Linked DNA regions of Callithrix jacchus. The protein of the gene in region 1 interacts with the protein of each later gene in a biochemical or structural test. Links are inferred from orthologs where the notes say so. Each region holds a gene or a part of one and is shown in the gene's direction. Other genes may lie near its edges.

What was found.
Region 2: the proteins of RAB11A (region 1) and IKBKG are reported together in a solved structure, tested with the Homo sapiens proteins (2 studies listed by BioGRID, with this or other methods). The link is inferred for Callithrix jacchus from reciprocal best matches to the Homo sapiens genes RAB11A and IKBKG.
Region 3: the proteins of RAB11A (region 1) and RAB11FIP4 form a complex in vitro, tested with the Homo sapiens proteins (2 studies listed by BioGRID, with this or other methods). The link is inferred for Callithrix jacchus from reciprocal best matches to the Homo sapiens genes RAB11A and RAB11FIP4.
Region 4: the proteins of RAB11A (region 1) and RAB11FIP1 form a complex in vitro, tested with the Homo sapiens proteins (2 studies listed by BioGRID, with this or other methods). The link is inferred for Callithrix jacchus from reciprocal best matches to the Homo sapiens genes RAB11A and RAB11FIP1.

Annotation. Positions count from the first base shown.
Region 1 is NC_133509.1:12,897,232-12,901,861, forward strand, and holds the end of RAB11A (ras-related protein Rab-11A), read left to right. Parts: intron 1-1,764; coding exon 1,765-1,904; 3' UTR 1,905-3,519; downstream 3,520-4,630. UniProt on the Homo sapiens protein: The small GTPases Rab are key regulators of intracellular membrane trafficking, from the formation of transport vesicles to their fusion with membranes.
Region 2 is NC_133524.1:150,351,216-150,356,160, forward strand, and holds part of IKBKG (NF-kappa-B essential modulator), read left to right. Parts: intron 1-1,338; coding exon 1,339-1,491; intron 1,492-2,636; coding exon 2,637-2,733; intron 2,734-3,724; coding exon 3,725-3,868; intron 3,869-4,412; coding exon 4,413-4,555; intron 4,556-4,772; coding exon 4,773-4,834; intron 4,835-4,945. UniProt on the Homo sapiens protein: Regulatory subunit of the IKK core complex which phosphorylates inhibitors of NF-kappa-B thus leading to the dissociation of the inhibitor/NF-kappa-B complex and ultimately the degradation of the inhibitor.
Region 3 is NC_133506.1:102,619,845-102,624,789, reverse strand, and holds part of RAB11FIP4 (rab11 family-interacting protein 4), read left to right. Parts: intron 1-1,807; coding exon 1,808-2,034; intron 2,035-4,945. UniProt on the Homo sapiens protein: Acts as a regulator of endocytic traffic by participating in membrane delivery. Required for the abscission step in cytokinesis, possibly by acting as an 'address tag' delivering recycling endosome membranes to the cleavage furrow during late cytokinesis.
Region 4 is NC_133514.1:38,775,804-38,780,748, reverse strand, and holds part of RAB11FIP1 (rab11 family-interacting protein 1), read left to right. Parts: intron 1-3,095; coding exon 3,096-3,538; intron 3,539-4,945. UniProt on the Homo sapiens protein: A Rab11 effector protein involved in the endosomal recycling process. Also involved in controlling membrane trafficking along the phagocytic pathway and in phagocytosis. Interaction with RAB14 may function in the process of neurite formation.

The DNA of each region.
Region 1 (4,630 bases):
TCGTGGCTTATGCCTATAATCCCAAAGCGGGTGGATCACGAGGTCAAGAGATAGAGACCATCCTGGCCAACATGGTGAAACCTTGTCTTTACTAAAAATAACAAAAGTTAGCTGGGTGTGGTAGCGCAGGCCTGTAGTCCCAAGGTACTCTGGAGGCTGAGGCAGAAGAATCGCTTGAACCTGGGAAGCAGAGGTTACAGTGAGCCAAGAATGTGCCACTGCATTCCAGCCTGGCAACTAAGTGAGACTATCTCTTTCATTTTTTTTTTTCTTTTTTCTTTATGGTCCCATTCTTTTCTAAGAGACTCTGTCTGAAAAAACAAACAAACAAACCAAAAAAAACCCCAAACAACTTTCAACTACAGAATTAAGAATTTAGGCTCTGTGCCTGTAATTGCAGCACTTTGGGGGGGCCCAGGCGTGTGGATCACCTGAGGTCAGGAGTTCAAGACCAGCCTGGCCAACATGGTGAAACCCCATCTCTACTAAAAATACACAAATTAGCCAGATGTAGTGGCATGCAACTGTAATCCCAGCTACTTGGGAAGTGGAGGCAGGAGAATCACTTGAACTTGGGAGGTGGAGGTTGCAGTGAGCCAAGATCACGCCACTGCATTCGAGCCTGGGTGACAGAGCAAGACTCTGTCTCAAAAAGAAAAAAAAAAAGAAACGCAAAAGCAGAATAGTATCATGAAATCCCCTGTAGCCATCAACAACCACCAGCTAATAACCAGTCTTTCCTCTACCTCCTTCCTCCATTACTTTGAAACAAATCCCAGCTATTACTTCATTTCATTTGTAGACATTTTGGGATGTATATCTAAAAATTAGAATGTAAACTCATAACAAAACCACTTAATTGGCAATAAAAAATAGAAAGAAAGAAAAATTGGCAATAATTCCCTATCCTATTATCTAAGCAATATTAAAATTTCCTGTATCAACTTTTTTATTGACGGTGGTTGATACGTTCTCAGAGCAGCTCAAAAATATGCATCTTTCTCTTTTTTCTCTATAACTTTAAAAGATTTACAAGTGTTATGGAATAAATACAGTGGACACGAATCTTCCTTTGGAATCATCAGCTGTTAACATTTTGCCACATTTTAAAATCTTTCTGTATGTTTCACCTCTTATTCAGTCTTTGAAAGTAAATTGTAGACATTGTGGCACTTTGCTACTAAATACTTACACATTTTATCTCTTAAGAACAAGGTATTCTCAGTGGGCATGGTAGTTTACGCCTGTAATCTCAGCACTTTGGGAGGCCGAGGTGGGTGGATCACCTGAGGTCAGGAGTTTGAGACCAGCCTGGCCAACATGGTGAAACCCCGTCTCTACTAAAAATACAAAAATTAGCCGGGTGTGGTGACACAGGCCTGTAGTCCCAGCTACTCGGGAGGCTGAAATAGGAGAATCACTTGAACCTGGGAGGTGGCCTCCACTTACCTTGGCCTCCCAAAGTGCTGGGATTACAGGTGTGAGCTACCACAGCCCAACCTGGTTTACTTCTTTAAACAAAGATTGACTGGGTGAACCTTTCCCTCTGAAATGGAAAAATTTTTGTTTCTTATCTTACCCCAAGGGCAATTGTTAAAATAAGGGGTTGACTATAATCAGTGGCTGTTTGAAAAATAAAGCTTTATGTATTCTGTTTAATTTCCTTATGGTCTTGGATGCAAGTGTATCTCCTACCTCTACGTATCTTTTATCCTATTGATAGGTTTATTCACACTAAGTCTTGTGGTTTCTTTTTTCCTTCAGAGATTTACCGCATCGTTTCTCAGAAGCAAATGTCAGACAGACGGGAAAATGACATGTCTCCAAGCAACAATGTGGTTCCTATTCATGTTCCACCAACCACTGAAAACAAGCCAAAGGTGCAGTGCTGTCAGAACATCTAAGGCATTTCTCTTCTCCCTTAGAAGGCTGTGTATAGTCCATTTCCCAGGTCTGAGATTTAAATATATTTGTAATTCCTGTGTCACCTTTGTGTTTTATTACTTCCTACTTAGGAATTTTTCCATGTCTTAAGTCTTTTGATTTTAGCTTTATAAAATCATCCACTTGTCCCGAATGACTGCAGCTTTTTTTTCATGCTATGGCTTCACTAGCCTTAGTTTAATAAACTGAATGTTTGGATTCCTCAATTATTGTTTACTTTTCATCATGGAAGCCTGTCATTGTAGGACATAATAGAACTTGATCACTTGAAGCTCAGACCTATTGGTCTTGATCAAATCAAACTCAGAAGACCTTAGAAATAAGCTACCATTTTGCCACAGAGCAGCTTACAGGTAATACACTCTTCTCTCAGTGCAGTGTATATTTCCACAAATCTATGAATTGCCCTATAAACATAGCAAGATTTTGAGAGCTTGACAATTTTCCATTGTTCTGGACATCAATTTCTAAAATGCCTTAATGGGTTTATGTAGTTGAGTAAATTTTGTTTTTAAATTTTTGTAAGCGTCAAAGTTGATTAGAGAAGGGGGCACTTTTTCTGGAGAAGAATTCTCTTAATAAACACAAGATTGTTACGGTTTCATTAGTAATATGGTTATGGGGCCATAAGTTAAACAGTGCTGCCTGTCAGGCTTGAACTGGAGAGACTTGTGGAATTCCATCTCAGGTGCCTCTGTTGCAATGATCAGGCAGCCCAGAACATTTAAATGATCTATAATAATTTCCAAGCAGTAGATTATGTGGCATTTTATTGCTCAGGCAATAACTGGTTTAATGCTGGTAGTATCAAAATTTGAAGTGTTAATTTTGTCTTAAAACCTTCCAGTAAGTGAAATGCAACCTAGTTTTATCACCATATCCACCAGCAGGCATGGATAATTATTTTAACAATGCTAATATTTTGAGTTTTGCAGTATATTATGGAATACAGTCCAGTTAAATCTTGGTTTCAGTATGTCTAAAGAATACAGTGAGAGGTTAATTTCTGCTCAAGTGGTACCACTTAAAGGCATGTATTCTTTTAGTATGCAAAATGAATTAGTACCTTGAGTTTAAATAGAATGCATTTAGGCATTGTGGAGACCTGCAATAGTTTTCTTCCACTACATTGTTGAAATCAGTGAAGCAATTAGTTTCTCATTCAGAAATGTGCACACTGATACTTAGTTTTGCTTTCTCGTGGATAATATTAAGTACTTACTCTGCAGTTTTCTGGAAGTTGTGTCAACTGCAGTGATACTATTCAGGATGGTGGGAAGGGAAATCCCCAAAACTATGTATGTGTGGGCTTGCTTAGATTACTATATTTCATAGTTAATCTTTTGTCTTTTGCGGTGCTCATGATGTGTGGGGCACATGGAAGGCATTGCTGTAGTCAGTCATTTTGGTTTTCTTCTATAGCCATTTTATTATTTTAGTGTGTTGGTTATGAAGATAATATCTATTTGTAAATTGCTACTTTGTATTTTATGCATGCTCTGTAATTTGATTTTTTTTTTTTTTTAGTAATTGATTTGGAATATATTCACATTCTAATAAACAGTTATAGGGGGATTATTTCTAATGTTGTCAGATTACATTTTTCCTTTGAGTGCTTTGGATGCAGCTGTGGAATCCTGATGTAAAAGCATAGGTTCTTGCATTACTGAGTAAACATTGAATTGACAGCATCAGTGTGTGAATTCAGCTTTGATTTTAGACCTGCAGTTCAATTATGCTCTTCTTGGAAAAAGTATGTTCCAAAACATTAGGAAAGTAGTGTGTACTTTCATATATAACAGTGTCACCATACCCAGGAAAATAGTCCATCTCCATTTTATTGAAAGTTGGTGGTAAATTTTTTTACAAAGTAAGAAAAGAGAAAAACTAAATAGTAAATTGAAAATAAATAAAGTAACTTAGGATTTTTACCCCAGTGTAGACTTAAATGTTGCCTTGGGTATGGTTGGATCTTGGGAGAATTCCAAGGAATACTAAGTATTAGAAAATGACTTTGATTGCATTTTAACAATTATCTTTATTCTGAGTAGTATATTAGGAGACAAACTGTCTCAAGCAAGAAACAAAAAATTTTAAAATGTTGTGACAATTCAAGGCTTGAGGCAATTTAGAAGTATTTTGCTACTTAACCTCGATTTTCAGTTATTTAACTTTGAATTTTTTTAACCTTTTAGGTAGTCTTCTGAAAAGTCAGCCATAGTGCCTTGATTTAATCTTCTGTCATTGTTCTCAAATGCTATGATTTCTCTTTAATAGTAGTTGTCATTATGTAAGGGTCAGTTATTAGCCATTGCATTGAATATGCTAAATTGTAATTATAAGAAGAGGTGCCAGCTAGTGACCTTACATTAGTGATCTTTTAAGTTCTGAAGGGTTCTGCAGAAAATTAGACTTCGTGAGTTTGGATTGCCCATCAGAGCTAGCCACATGTCCTTGATCATTGAGAAAATGAATATCTTAATTTTTGTCTTTGCTGACTTGTATTTATAAAATACAAATGCTTTCAGTGGTTTGTGCTATTGCGATAATCGCTTCTGTCTACCTTAGAGAAGAAGCTGTACCATTTAGACAGTTTTGGCCAATACCAGAAGTGAAAGAATTCAAAGGCTGAGTGGACAATTAACAACTTATTCTAACCTGCTAGGTTTCAATTTTGGGGGCTTTG
Region 2 (4,945 bases), on another chromosome or scaffold:
GGGAGAGGTCTGGGCCAGGCATCCAGGACCTGGGTCCCAGCCAGCTCTCCATACTCTCAGACCCTTTGATGGAGTTTGGATTATTTCCTTAAGAGGCATTTTGAGGGCTCCAAGCCCACACCCACAGTTTCTAGTTCTCTGGAAGGATTTCTAGGACCGGTGCACAGTCACCCTCGTGGCCGAGGTTGATGACAGGGAAAAGGGCACAGGGCAGGAGCTGCAGGTGGATTTGGAGAAACTGTGTCCCAGGCTCCTCCCAACTTGTGAGGCGCACAGTAAGAAGTGCCTCCCACATGGGCCAAGTTCCTGCCCAGGGTTGCCCACTAGAGACTCAGCATCCTGGGTGTTTACTGGGGGTGGGTCCTGTCAGCATTGTCTGCCAGGCAGGTACCTAAATCTCTGACTCCCAGCAGCAGAGTGGGTGCTCATGGCAATGATGTGTCTACAAACAGCCCAGGTGCAGGGACCTTGGGCCTGCTGGTTACTCTCTTTTGAAAAGGGGTCTTGGTTCTTCAAAGTGGGACCATTGGGTCAAAGGTCAGGGAGGTTTTCGTGGTTCTTACTCGGCCCTGCTTCTACCGTCCAGACAGATGAATCAGCTGCCACAGGGCCCCAGCCATCCCGGCACAGTAGGTGGTCAGAGCACACTTGGGGCAACCAGCAAGGCAAAGGGGAGGCGAGCTTGACTTGGGCTCTGATGGGCAGAGGGAGCCCAGGCAGGGTGTGGCGGCAGAGTGCGGGCAGGCACAGAGCGGAGAGAGCCAGGCAGCCAGACCTGTCAGGCGGAGTTGGGGTGACTGGAAGAGGGCTATGTCTACTGTGGCCAGAGGCCACCCAGGGTCTGCACAGAAGCACCCACCATCGTCCTGCAGTGGAGGCCGTGGAAGGGCTCGGAGCCGTGGGATGAGGCCAGAGCGTGGAAACTGCAGGTTAAGGGAACTGAGCCTCCACGCAGCGCATCTGGGATGCCAGCAGAGCTCCAGGCAGCAGCAGGGATGGGGCCGAGGCCTGGTCTGCATTGAGTTCAGTGCTTGTACACCCCGGTGGGCTGTGTCTCACTTGTAGAACGGTCTCTCCTGACCCTCTCCACAGAGACTGCTTTTGCTGGGGCCTCCAGCAGCCCCCCATTGGAGTTCCGTGGGCAGTTCTGAGGGCTCCTGTCACCTGGCCCGGGCACTGCGGGTGTCCTCGTGTCTGGTGACAGTGTCTTCACCCTGCTGCCTTGCATTGGCTTATAGTCACAGGGTGTTCGGAGCAGACGCCTTCTGCCGATGCCCTGCGTGTAGCCGCTCCTCTCCCCCGTTCATCCTCCCTGAGTCTGCTCTTTCCCTGTGCCAGGGCTCGGGCGGCCAGTGAGCAGGTGCGGCAGCTAGAGAGCGAGCGTGAGGCGCTGCAGCAGCAGCACAGTGTGCAGGTGGACCAGCTGCGCATGCAGGGCCAGAGTGTGGAGGCTGCACTTCGCATGGAGCGACAGGCCGCCTCGGAGGAGAAGTGAGTCATGGGGGCAGGGCCGCATCACAGGGTCTTTGGTTCTACACTTGTTCTCAGCCAAAAGGCCAAGAAGCGGTGGGTCTATGGTCCTTTCTGCCTTCTGGGGAGTCCTTCATATTCTGTCTGTGGCTGTGGGCCCATTCTGTCACTTAGCTTTGCTAACAGTAGAGGCGACCATGATGACAACCAGTTTGTCTTTGATACAATCATGCCATCTGCTATCCAGACCACGTTTCACTGTGTGTCCACACATGGCCTTTTTTGTACTTCTTTTCTTAGCCACCAGGTCATTAGGGGACTTGTCCTTTCAAACCCCCTCCAGGCTGGGTGCTGTGGCTCATGCTTGTAATCCCAGCACTTTGGAAGGCCAAGGTAGGTGGATCACTTAAGCCTAGGAGTTCAAGACCAGCCTTGGCAACAGAAAGACAACAAAAATACCCCCAATGTCCCCTTCCTACCAGCATCCAACCTGTGGCCTCAGGTTCCTGTCCTTGGCGTGCCTTTTCAGTCCCCTTTAATTAGAACAGTTACCCGGCCTTTCTGAGTTGTTTGTGAAGTTCACAGTTTTGAAGAGTGCAGGGTAGTTCAGTTGTATTGTTGTTACTGTTATATTATTACTACTATTATTTTCAAGAGAGGGTCTTGCTCTATCGTCCAGGCTGGAGTGCAGGAGCATTATCTCGGCTTACTGTGGGCTTACCTAGTGCCTCGTGGGCTCAAGCAATCTTCCCACCTCAGCCTCCGAAGTAGCTGGGACTGCAGGCGCAGGCTGCCACACCCGGCTAACTTTTGTATTTTTGGTAGACTTGGAGTTTTGCCATGTTGCCCAGGCTGGTCTCAAACTCTTGAGCTCAAGCCAACCTCCTGCCTTGGCTTCTCAAAGTATGGGAATTATATCTGGCCATGATTTTATTATAAATATTTAAACATGTTAGCTTTAAGGAAAATGATATTAACTTCCTGGTGACTGGACCAGCAAAGCCTGCCTCAGAGCCAACAGCTTCAGGAATCCTCACCCAGCCTTGGAAGACCCCACTCCAGGCCTGGGATGCACAGGAGGGACAGGCGGGTAGAGGTGGAAGCAGGCGGAACTGTGGCAGGACTGGCCTGAGGTGGTTTCTCCAGCGCATGCCACTTTTCCTCAGGCGGAAGCTGGCTCAGTTGCAGGTGGCCTATCACCAGCTCTTCCAAGAATACGACAACCACATCAAGAGCAGTGTGGTGAGCAGCGAGCGGAAGCGAGTGAGTGCGGCCGCCGGGGCTCTAGGGCTAGCCCTGCCTCTTCCTCTCCCCACATCCCTGAACCTTGAGAGTGGGCATTTGGTAGGGATCCTTGACTTGCCCTAGACCTTTGTCAGGCTGCAGCTGTGACAGCTCAGGGAAGCTGTAGGGAGATGGCGACCCTGGGATGTTGCTCTCAGGAATGTTGGCAGGCCACCATAATGGGGGGCTGGGGCAGAGCCTCAGGATGCGTCCTCTATGGGGCTGGGGATATCTTATCTCTGTGGATATTCCCTCTTGCCAGCCATCAGCATCTGCGCTCCTGGCTCAGTTTCCCCCAAGCCAAGGTAAGCCCGGCAACGTTTCCACCCCAATGTTGGCTAGGAGCCTTTTCCTAGTTTGTCCTCCTCGGACCTAAGCTGGGTGCAGTTTGCTAGTGATCCCATTTTAGCAGGACACTGTCAAAGCTTGAAGCAAGGTCACATGAGGAAGAGTTAGTGACACAAGTGGCCACATAATCTCTGGAGGGAAGGGTTGGCAGTGTGTGTCTGTGTGTGTGGGGGGGCTGGCGATGCCGGTGTGGGATGAGCGCACCTCTGACCAGGTGCAGAGTGGAAAGGGCGAGGGCTCTCAGTTCAGCCGTGCATGCAGCAGGCACGGGCCAGCTCGCTGTGCATGGGCATGGCCCATGTCCTGTGAAGGGTGGGAGGAGGGCTGTGCAGCTGGGGATTCTGGGAAGGGAATGTCCGCCCAGCTGGGAGGTTGTGCCAGGTGACCTCAGTGTGGCCTCTTTGGTCCTGAAGAAAACCTCAGCATCTGCTCTGTCCTTTTGGGCCGCAAGAGGATGCGGTCTTCTCCCTATTCATGCTGAGATCCTGCAGCGGGCCCTAAAATCAAGCGGCTGGCATCGCCCAGCTTGGTCAGCCAGGGCCACTGTTTTGTCCTTCTCAGTTCCCTGCCAGTTCCGCCCTCGGCCAACGAGGGTCCGTCAGCTCCCCTTGCCTGTCTTTAGGGAATGCAGCTGGAAGATCTCAAGCAGCAGCTCCAGCAGGCTGAGGAGGCCCTGGTGGCCAAACAGGAGCTGATCGATAAGCTGAAGGAGGAGGCCGAGCAGCACAAGATGGTGATGGAGACGGTTCCGGTGCTGAAGGCGCAGGTCAGGGCTCTCCTCTCTGGCCCGCCCTCCTGCTGGGACCTGCTGTGTCTCTTTGGTGTCTTTCTGTGTGTGTGTGTTTTCTTTTTGAGATGGATTTTTGCTCTTGTTGCTTAGGCCAGAGTGCAATGGCAGGATCTCAGCTCACTGCAATCACCGCCTCCTGGGTTGAAACCATCCTCTTGCCTCAGCCTCCCAAGTAGCTGGGATTACAGGCGCTCTCCACCAGCCCCGGCTAATTTTTGTATTTTTAGTAGAGACCGGGTTTCACGATTTTGGCCTGGCCGCTCTCAATCTCTTGACTTTGTGATCCACCCACTCCAGCCTCCCAAAGTGCTGAGATGACAAGCATGAGCCACCATGCCTGGCCTGTTTGGCGTCATTTTGTGGTGGCCTTTCGTAAGCTTCTCAGCCACTTGTGCTGCTCCTTGACCTCTCAGTGCACTTGGTGTCACTTGCAGACATATCTGTTTCCTTTGTGCCTGTCACAGTGCTCAGTGGGTGGCTGGCTTGTGGTGGGCACATCGCTCTCTCTTGGATTTGCCAGGCGGACATCTACAAGGCGGACTTCCAGGCTGAAAGGCAGGCCCGGGAGAAGCTGGCTGAGAAGAAGGAGCTGTTGCAGGAGCAGCTGGAGCAGCTGCAGAGGGAGTACAGCAAATTGAAGGCCAGCTGTCAGGAGTCGGCCAGGTGGGCCTCTGAGAGTCTGCCCCTGTGAGCAGTGGGTGCAACACTAGGGGGTTGCCAGTGGTGACTGCAGGAGATGGATGGCTTCTGGCGTTCTGGGTTAGGACTCACTGCGGCCCCTCTCCTCTCACCTGAGCTTCCAAGAGCTTCTCTGACACTAGTCCAGCCATGGAGCTTTACAGAAGCATGTGCCTTGACTGGACGGTTTCTGTTTTCAAAGGATTGAGGACATGAGGAAGCGGCATGTAGAGGTCTCTCCGACCCCCTTGCCCCCTGCACCCGGTGAGTGAGCAAGCATTGGGCCTGCGGGAGGAGGGGGAGGTGGGTGGGGAGGGCGGGCGCTGTGCTGCAGGAGGTCACAGCTGGACCTTCCTGTCGCTCTCCGGAGTCTTG
Region 3 (4,945 bases), on another chromosome or scaffold:
TCACTGGTGGTAGCAGATGACTGCACATGTCTGGGCGGCACATCCAGGCCTGTTGCCAAGCAGCAGCTTCAGCTGTCCCTGAACCTGTATTTGTCTGAGACTCCAGGAGGCTTTTCACAGCCTGTTTCTGTTGCCCTTCTTGCAGTCTTGGGGCTGCAGGGTCCTTTGATGGGGTGCTCTGCCAGCCCTGGCTGAGGAGCACACCAAGGAACCTTGGCAACAGATATCTCTGATGGGTCAGGTAGAAGTGGTGCTACCTGATAAGTACCTTCCTGCTCAGAGGTGAAGTAGCCCCAGTAAATGGTTTGCCTAGGGTCTAGGGTGAACTCTGAACTAAGCCAAAGCTCTTCTATCTGATGTGTTTAGCGAAAGGTGTGATGTCCTTAACACATGCCATTATCATGCTGGGCCCTGGACCCAGCACAAGCAATGCTCAGAAGGGAGGCCTGGCATCCTTGCTCCCAGCAAGGCTGTGGTGGGGCCCAGATAGGTGGTTGCCTCCTGGGCTGGACATCACATCTTCTGACTGGAGTTTATTCATTGAGGCCCTACTGTGTGTTAGATGCTAATGTGAAGAGCCTCATTGAATCAGCACAGTGATCCTGTAAGGCTCTGTTGCCATTTCTGAGTTACAGGGGAGAACTGAGGTTCAGAGACATTTTGTGACGTGCCCAGAGTCATGGAGGGTGACCCCAAGTTGTGCAGCTTTCACTATACCACGTTGCAGCAAACTCTACTAGGCCAGGGTTGTTGCTCCTAAAAGCTATTCAGTGTGGCTGTGCCCTTACATGGAGCGCCAAGAAGCCGCCTCAAAGCCATTTGGCCTCCTGCAGACTTCTGGTGGTGTTACCAGTGGAGAGTGTCCAGGTTCTTAGTGTCTTGAACAAAGAATTAGACAAAATGCGTGTGCGCACACACACACACACACACACGAAAGAATGAAGCAACAAAAGCTGAGATTTATTGAAAAAAAAAAAAAGTACACTCCACAGGTTGGGAGCAGACCCAAGCTTAGGGGCTCAACAGCCTGGTTGCAGAATTTTCTGGGGTTTAAATACCATCTAGAGGTTTCCCATTGGTTAGTTGGTGTATACCCTATGTAAATGAAGCAGTGGCCCACAATCAGTTTGATTGCAGGAGAGGACCAATCAGAGGCTGAAGTGAAGTTGCAAAGTTACACCCTATGTGAACATCTGATTGATTGAGGAAAGCAATGGATCAGAGGTTAAAGCGAAGTTACAAAATTATACTCCTATGCAAATGAAGACAACCTTTGACCAGCCTGATTGGTTGCAGGAGGGACCAATCAGAGATACTTTCAGTTTTCATCTGCCAGACAGAAAAGGTGGAGGGTGCGGGTGGTGGGGTGGAGGGTGGTGAGGGGTGGCAGGGAATGCAAAGGAAGTGGTTAGTTGGGTGTGGAAAGTTGGGGTTTTCCTTTGATTTAGCTGTAGGAAATCAGTGTGAATCAACCTTATGTTCCCTGCCTCCAGACCCTATTCTGCCTCAGCTGGGGCTTTGATGTGCCAGGGTGCCCTGAATGATGTGGCTGGCCTGACTGTGGCCCTTCTTTGTGGATGGCCATTTCTGAGAGTTCCACCTCCTCACTAGATGCTCATGAGTCAGCCAGTATGAGAGGTCCTTGGGACTAATCACCTGCCAGGTGTTCCCACACTTAGGGTCTTGGGGTCTGGGCCTCCTGTACCCAATCCCTGCTGTTTAGGCCTGGCTGATGCCCTTGCAGTCTGATTGGAACACTGACCCCTGGGAAGCTGGCCTCACTCATCTTCCCCTCTGTCTTTCCCAGGGCATCGACGTCACAGGCCCCACCTTTGCTGATGGCGAGCTCATCCCCAGGGAGCCCGGCTTTTTTCCCGAGGACGAGGAGGAGGCTATGACGCTGGCCCCGCCTGAGGGCCCCCAGGAGTTGGACACAGACAGCCCCATGGAGAGCACTCAGAGCCTGGAGGGGTCTGTTGGGAGTCCCGCCGAGAAGGACGGGGGACTCGGGGGCCTGTTTCTGCCAGAGGACAAGTGAGTTAAAACCGCCTGAAGCTTAGTATTTGCCTCTTGGCCCAGAAATGTGGCTCTTAGAAAGTGTCTCCAGGAAGTAAATGTGAAATGTGCTCAAAATTTGTGTCAGAGGCATTAGCATCATGGGTATTCTGAATAGCAGAAGATTCTAAGATTCTAAGCAGAAGATTCTAAATTTGGAATTTTAGGCAGCAATGCAAAGTCAAGGTTTTAAATTTAATTTTACTTTATTTTCAGTCCTAGTCCTATAGACAAAGTCAAGATTTACTTATTTATTTATTGTTGAGACAGAGTCTCGCTCTGTTGCCCAGGCTAGAGTACGGTGGCACAATCTCGGCACACTGCAACCTCTGCTTCCTGGGTTCAAGTGATTCTCCTGCCTCAGCCTCCTGATTAGCTGGGATTACAGGTGCATGTCACCATGCCCAGCTAATTTTTATATTTTTAGTAGAGACCGGGTTTCACCATGTTGGTGAAGCTGGTCTCAAACTCCTGACCTCACAATCCACCCACTTTGGCCTCCCAAAGTGCCACCATGCCTGGCCAAAGTCAAGTTTTAAATGACTAGTTAATGATATGAGATATATGATCTCATTGTTTTAAAAAGCAGGTTGTGGCCAGGCACAACCTGTAACCCCAGGACTTTGGGAGGCCAAGTCAGGACAATCACTGGAGCCCATGAATGTAAGATTACAGTGAGCTGTGATCACATCACTGTATTCCAGCCTAGCAAAAGAGCAAGACCCTGTCTTTTTTTAAAAAAAAAAAAAGGTAGGTTGCAAAGATATGCAAGATATCCGTAAGATCAGCTTTGTTAAAAACACAAACCTATGCCAGGCAATTGGCACGTGCCTGTAGTTCCAGATACTTGGGAGGCTGAGGCAGGAGAATCTTCTGGATTCTAGTGCACAATGCCGATCGGGTGGGTGTCTGCACTAAGTTTAGCATCAGTATGATGACCTCCCAGGAGTGGGGCACCACCAGGTTGCCTAAGGAGGGATGAACTGGCCCAGGTCAGAAACAGAGCAGGTCAAAACTTGTGTGCTGATCAGTAGTGAGATCACACCTGTGAATAACCACTGCACTCCAGCCTGGGCAGTATAGCAAGACCCCATTTCTGAAAAACAAAACATAGACATGTATGTTAGGAAATGCCTAGAAAAAATTAATCTAGAAAACTAAGCAGTTATTTCTGTATGGTAGAATGATCATTTTAATTACCTCCCATCTACTCTGTTATATTTTCTACATTAAGCATGTACTCCCATAATCAGAAATGTTATTTAAAAGCAATATTAAGACCTAAGTGACTTCCCAGGGAAGCAGTGTCATCTTTAACTTTGGTGTCGGCAGAAAGGATTCCTTTCCATTTTCAGCCCTCGCCAAGACTCTTGAGGAATACAGTGCTGTGGGTGGTGGGAAGCCACCACCACTGTGGCTGAGGAAGCTGAGGGGATTGTAAGTGGCAGCCCCTTACCAGAAGAAGGTGATGGTTATGGCTGCTGCAGGGACTTGGAGGGAGAGAAGAGAGGGGTTCCAGGGTTGGTTGAACCATATAAAATTGACAGCTTTTAATCATTTCCATCTTCAAAATAAGGTAATTTCATGTAGTTCAACCTAGTACATGTCAGAGTCCGGATGTTCTTGATGGGGCCCTTTGAAGCTGTGGATGGAGAGAGGGGCCGTGCTGCTTTCTGGGAGTAGCCTGTAATCCCAGCACTTTGGGAGGCCGAGGTGGGCAGATCACCTGAGGCCAGGAGTTTGAGACCAGCCTGGCCAACATGACAAAAACCCCGTCTCTACTAAAATTACAAAATTAGCTGGACGTGGTGGCAGGAGGTTACTTGGGAGGCTACTCACAGCTACTCTGGAGGCTGAGGTAGGTGAAGCACTAGAATCTGGAAAGCAGAAACTGCAGTGAGCTGAGATATCGCCACTGCACTCTGGCCGGGCGACAATGAGCCTATGTCTCAAAAAAAAAAAAAGATAAACTTAAAAAATAATACAGTATAACAACTATTTCCATAGCATTTACATTGTGTTAGGTATTATAAGTAATCTAGAGAGGATTTAGAGGATGCAGGAGGATGTGCATAGGTTGTATGTGAATACTATGCCATTTCATACCTGGGACTTGAGCATCCTCAGAGTTTGGTGTCCACGGGGGGTCCTGGAACAAATCCCTCTCGGATACCAAGGGACAACCATACTCAGTGTTACAGTAGCTAAAAGTTTAGATCTATTTATATTTATATTCATTTTCTATATTACTCCCAATGTTTTAACACATCTTTCAACAACGATTTGATATTCCACGATTTAATAATTTACTAGCATTATAATTTAATAATTATAATTTGGTTTAGCTGTAGCTAGACACTTAGGTTGTAAGCAATGTTTTGCTACTCTAGCGTAGCATGGGTAGAATTGATTTCAACTGCAGTAACGGTTTATGTGGCAAGATGTTTCCCTTTAGATAGGGTCCCCAAAATGTATTTAACAGGTCAAGAGGGCCGGGCGCGGTGGCTTACGCCTGTAATCCCAACACTTTGGGAGGCTGAGATGGGTGGATCACAAGGTCAAGAGATTGAGACCATCCTGCCCAACATGGTGAAGCCCCGTCTCTACTAAAAATACAAAAATTAGCCAGGTGTGGTGGCACATGCCTTTGGTCCCAGCTACTCAGGAGGCTGAGGTGGAAGAATCGCTTGAACCCAGGAGGTGGAGGTTGCGGTGAGCCGAGATTGTGCCACTGTACTCCAGCCTGGCAGACCGAGCAAGACTCCGTCTCAAAAAAAAAAAAACAAGTCAAGAGGTACAGACTTGATCGGTAGCGCCAGTTAAAGGGAAATGCCTGGTCAGCCTCCCCACCGCGGCTGTGGATGGGGGCCCATGAGTCCTCCTCTGACCC
Region 4 (4,945 bases), on another chromosome or scaffold:
GAGCGAGACTCTATCTCAAAAACACACACAAACACATATATATATGTGTGTGTTTTTTAGAGAAGTAGGATCTTTCCTTGTTGCTTATACTGATCTCACTGTATAAGCAGCAAGGCAAGATCCCACTCCTGAACCAACCTATCCTCCTGTCTCAGCCTCCCAAAGCACTGAGATTGTAGGTGTGAGCCATTGTACCCAGCCTGGCTCACATTCTTACAGTTCACTAAAGGTACAGGGCTCTTAGATGGAAAATGAATGTCATGAGGAGATTTCCTTTTTTAAAGCTTGTCTTTCAGTGGAGCTGGACTGATATAATGTCATTTGCCACATCTTGAAGTAGATGGCAAATGACCTAGTGTAATACTTTGAATAGTATTTGAAATGTTCCTTTTTCTGATTATTAAGCTGGGGAAGAAGGCTTCCTTTTCAATTCCCCGTTTGTTTTATTGTGGTAAAACATAATATAAAATTAAATTTAGCATTTTATCCCCCCCTTTTTTTTTTGAGACAGAATTTTGCTCTGTCGCCCAGGCTGGAGTGCAGTGCGCGATCTCAGCTCACTGCAATCTCCGCATTCTGGGTTCAAGCGTTTCTCCTGCCTCAGCTTCTAGAGTAGCTAGGATTACAGGATGTGCCATGATGCCTGGGTATTTTTTGTATTTTGGTAGAGACAGGGTTTCACCATGTTGGCCAGGCTGGTCACAAACTTCTGACCTCAAGTGATCTGCCCACCTCGGCCTCCCAAAGTGCTGGGATTACAGGTCGGAGCCACCACGCCCAGCCCCATTTTTAAGTGTGCAGTTCAGTGCCATTAAGAACATTTATGCTGTTGTGTGACCATAACCGCCATCCATCTTCAGAACTTTTAAATTTTCCCCAAATGAAGCTCTATATCCATCAAACATTAATTCCTCGTTCTTTCCTTCCCCTCCTCTGGCAATCACCATTCTACTTTCTGCCTCAGTGAATTTGACTACCCCAGGAACCTCACATAAGCAGACTCATATAGTGTTTGTCATTTTCTAACTGACTGATTTAACTCTTTTTTTGAGATGGAGTCTGGTTCTGTTGCCCAGGCTGGAGTGCACTGGCATGCTCTCGGCTCACTGAAACCTCCGCTTCTTGGGTTCAAGCAATTCTCCTGCCTCAGCCTCCTGAGTAGCTGGGATTACAGGCACTCACCACCACACCCAACTAATTTTTGCATTTTTAATAGAGATGGGGTTTCGCCATGTTGGCCAGGCTGGTCTCGAGGTCTTGACCTCAGGTGATCTGCCCGCCTCTGCCTCCCAAAGTGCTGGGATTACAGGCGTGAGCCACTGCACCTGGCCTGATTACACTCTTTTTTAAAAATTCTTTATTTTTATTTATTTATTTTTAGAAACAGGGTCTTGCTTTGTCACTCAGATTGGAGTGCAGTGGTGCAATGATAGCTCACTGCAACCTCGAACTCCTAGGCTCATGTTGTTGAGCAGCTGGAACTATAGGTGCATACCACCATGCCAGCTAATTTTTAATTTTTTATAGAGATGGGGTCTTGCAGTGTTGCCCAGGCTGGTCTTGAACTCCTGGCCTCAAGTGATCCTCCTGGCTCAGGCTCCCAAAGCTCTGGGATTAACATGTGTGAGCCACCATGCCCAGTCTCCTCCCCCACCTTTTTTCTTTTAAATTCTGCCTTGTATGTTTTATTACTCCCTAGCAGGGACTATTCCTTACTACAAACTTGATTTTCTTGGAGATTTAATTATACATTTGCATGCCACCCTTCTTAGCTGTTTGTATATGATCTTTGCTTTTTTTTTTTTTTTGAGATGGAGTTTCACTCTGTCCCCAGGCTGGAATACTATGTCATGATCTCAGCTCACTACAACATCTGCCTCCTGGGTTCAAGCGATTCTTCTGCCTCAACCTCCTGAGTAGCTGGGACTACAGGCACCTGCCACCACACCTAGCTAATTTTTTATATTTTTAGTATAGACAGGATTTCACCATATTGGCAAGGCTGTTCTCGAACTCTTGACCTTGTGATCCACTCACCTGGGCCTCCCAAAGTGCTGGGATTACGGGCGTGAGCCACTGCGCCTGGCCCTGATCTTTGCATTTTTACTCTACTGAAGGAAAACTTTAGTCATCGGAAGTGATTCCATGGAATATTTTTTTTCTTTATTTTTAGAATGAACTCTTTATTGAATCAGGATTTTACGTTATTATATGCTAAGTACAACACTGGATCCTATCTTTGTCTAGTAGTGCATGTCTTCTCAAAAATAAAAGTGCAAAATTTAAAAAAAATGAACAAAAGAAATACAAATAAAAGTGCAAATTCTGCTCTCTACTGGGTGCAGTGACTCATGCCTGTAATCCCTGCACTTTGGGAGGCTGAGGCGGGCAGATCACCTAAGGGTCAGGAGTTCGAGTCCAGCCTGGCTAACATGGCGAAACCCTGTGTTTACTAAAAATACAAAAATTAGTCGGACGTGGTGACCAGTGCCTGTAATCTCAGCTACTCAGGAGGCCGAGGCAGGTGAATCACTTGAAGCTGGGAGGCAGAGGCTGCAGTGAGCCGAGATTGTAACATTTTACTCCAGCCTATGTGACAGAGCAAGACTCTGTCTTTTTTTTTTTTTTTGAGACGGAGTTTCGCTCTTGTTACCCAGGCTGGAGTGCAATGGCACGATCTCGGCTCACCACAACCTCCGCCTCCTGGGTTCAGGCAATTCTCCTGCCTCAGCCTCCTGAGTAGCTGGGATTACAGGCACGCGCCACCATGCCCAGCTAATTTTTTGTATTTTTTAGTAGAGACGGGGTTTCACCATGTTGACCAGGATGGTCTCGATCTCTTGACCTCATGATCCACCCGCCCTGGCCTCCCAAAGTGCTGGGATTATAGGCTTAAACCACCGCGCCCGGCCGAAGACTCTGTCTTAAAAAGAAAAAAAAAATCTGCTCTCATCTGGATCTCCCCAAAGAGAAAGCCTAAGAATGCATGCATCAAACAGGTTGCTGGTAGCCGAGAAGAGAGGCCAGTTCATGGCAATTGTGAACATTTTTGCAGTCTTTTCCATTCAAAGGTAACTCAGCCTTTCTCCTTTCAGGTGGTATAAATTGACGTCCAAACCAGGAAAGAAAGACAAGGAGCGAGGAGAAATTGAAGTTGACATTCAGTTTATGAGAAACAACATGACTGCCAGCATGTTTGACCTTTCCATGAAAGACAAGTCTCGGAATCCTTTTGGAAAACTGAAGGACAAGATCAAGGGGAAGAAGAAGGACAGTGGGTCGGACACCGCCTCTGCCATCGTCCCCAGCACAACACCCTCAGTTGACAGTGATGATGAGTCTGTGCCCAAAGACAAGAAAAGGAAATCAAAGATCAAGACCCTATTTTCCAAGTCGACTCTGCAGAAAACGCCCCTTTCCCAGTCCATGTCTGTCCTGCCGACTTCAAAGCCAGAAAAAGTGCTGCTTCGTCCCAAAGACTTTCAGTCCCAGTGGGACGAAGATGACAATGAGGATGAGTCTTCCTCGGCCTCAGACGGTGAGTTTCCGTATCTTCCCTCTTGACCTCTCTTCCTCCACTTAGCCTGCTTCGTTCTGAGAGAGAAGAAACGGACAAATCTTAAGATAAAGAGTTTAATTCAATTCCTCAGTTACAAAATCGTGGTGGCAGTGGTAATGATAATGGTGAGTAATCCTGGTTAAGATACCCTCTCTGACCAGGTACAGTGGCTCACGCCTGTAATCCCAGCACTTAGGGAGGCTGAGGCAGGCAGATCACCTGGGATCAGGAGTTCAAGACCAGCCTGGCCAACATGGCAAAACCCCATCTCTACAAAAATACAAAAATTAGCTGGGTATGGTGGTGTTTGCCTGTATTCCCAGCTATTCGGGAGGCTGAGGCAGGACAATTGCCTGAACCCAGGAGGCAGGGGTTGCAGTGAGCCGAGATTGCACCATTGCACTCCAGCTTGGGTGACAGATGGAGACTTCGTCTCAAAAAAATCAAAACAAAAAAACAAATGATGCCCTCTCTAAGGCCAGGCATGGTGGCTCACTCCTGTAATCCCGGCACTTTGGGAGGCCAAGGGAGGCAGATCTCTTGAGCCCAGGAGTTCAAGACCAGCCTGGGCAACTTGGTGAAACCCTGTCTCTACAAAACATATAAAAATTAGCCAGGTGTGATGACACATGCCTGTAGTCCCAGCTACTCAGGAGGCTGGGGTAGGAGGATTGCTTGAGCTCGTGAAGTAGAGGCTGCAGTAAGCTGTGATCATGCCACCACACTCCAGCCTGGGTGACAGAATGAAAAAAAAAAAGATGCCCTATTTCTTTTTATTTTAAATATTTTTTGTTTGTTTGTTTTAGAGGCAGGGTCTGCTCTGTTGCCCAGGCTGGAGTGTAGTGGCGCAATCATAGCTTACTGCAGCCTCCAACTCCTGGGCTCAAGGGATCCTCCCACCTTGGCCTCCTGAGGAGCTGGGACTACAGGTGTGCACCATCACACCTGGCTAATTAAAAAAAAAATTTTTTTTTCTTAGAGATGAGGTCTCACTATTTTGCCCAGGCTGAAACTCCTGGCCTCAAGCAATCCTCCTGCCTCAACCTCTTAAAGTGTTGGTATGACAGTTGTGAGCCACTGCACACAGCTGAGATGCCCTCTCTATTTCTAAGCCCTCTGGTTTCTAAAAAGGCGGAAATTCCTTTTCTAGAGTGTTTGGCTCTATAACTTATGTCCATTAGTACAAGCTTTTAGAGCTAACAGAATGAGTGTCTCCAAGATTTTTTTTTTTTCAAGAGCAAAACCATGGAACCTTATAGTAATTCTGCTATTTCATTAATTCATCAGGTAGTTATTTAGTTCCTATGATGTGATTAACCCTCATGGGATATAGCCCATCAGAAGCCAAGGAATCTGGTTCCTTTAGCTCTGAATTACTTGTGTTTT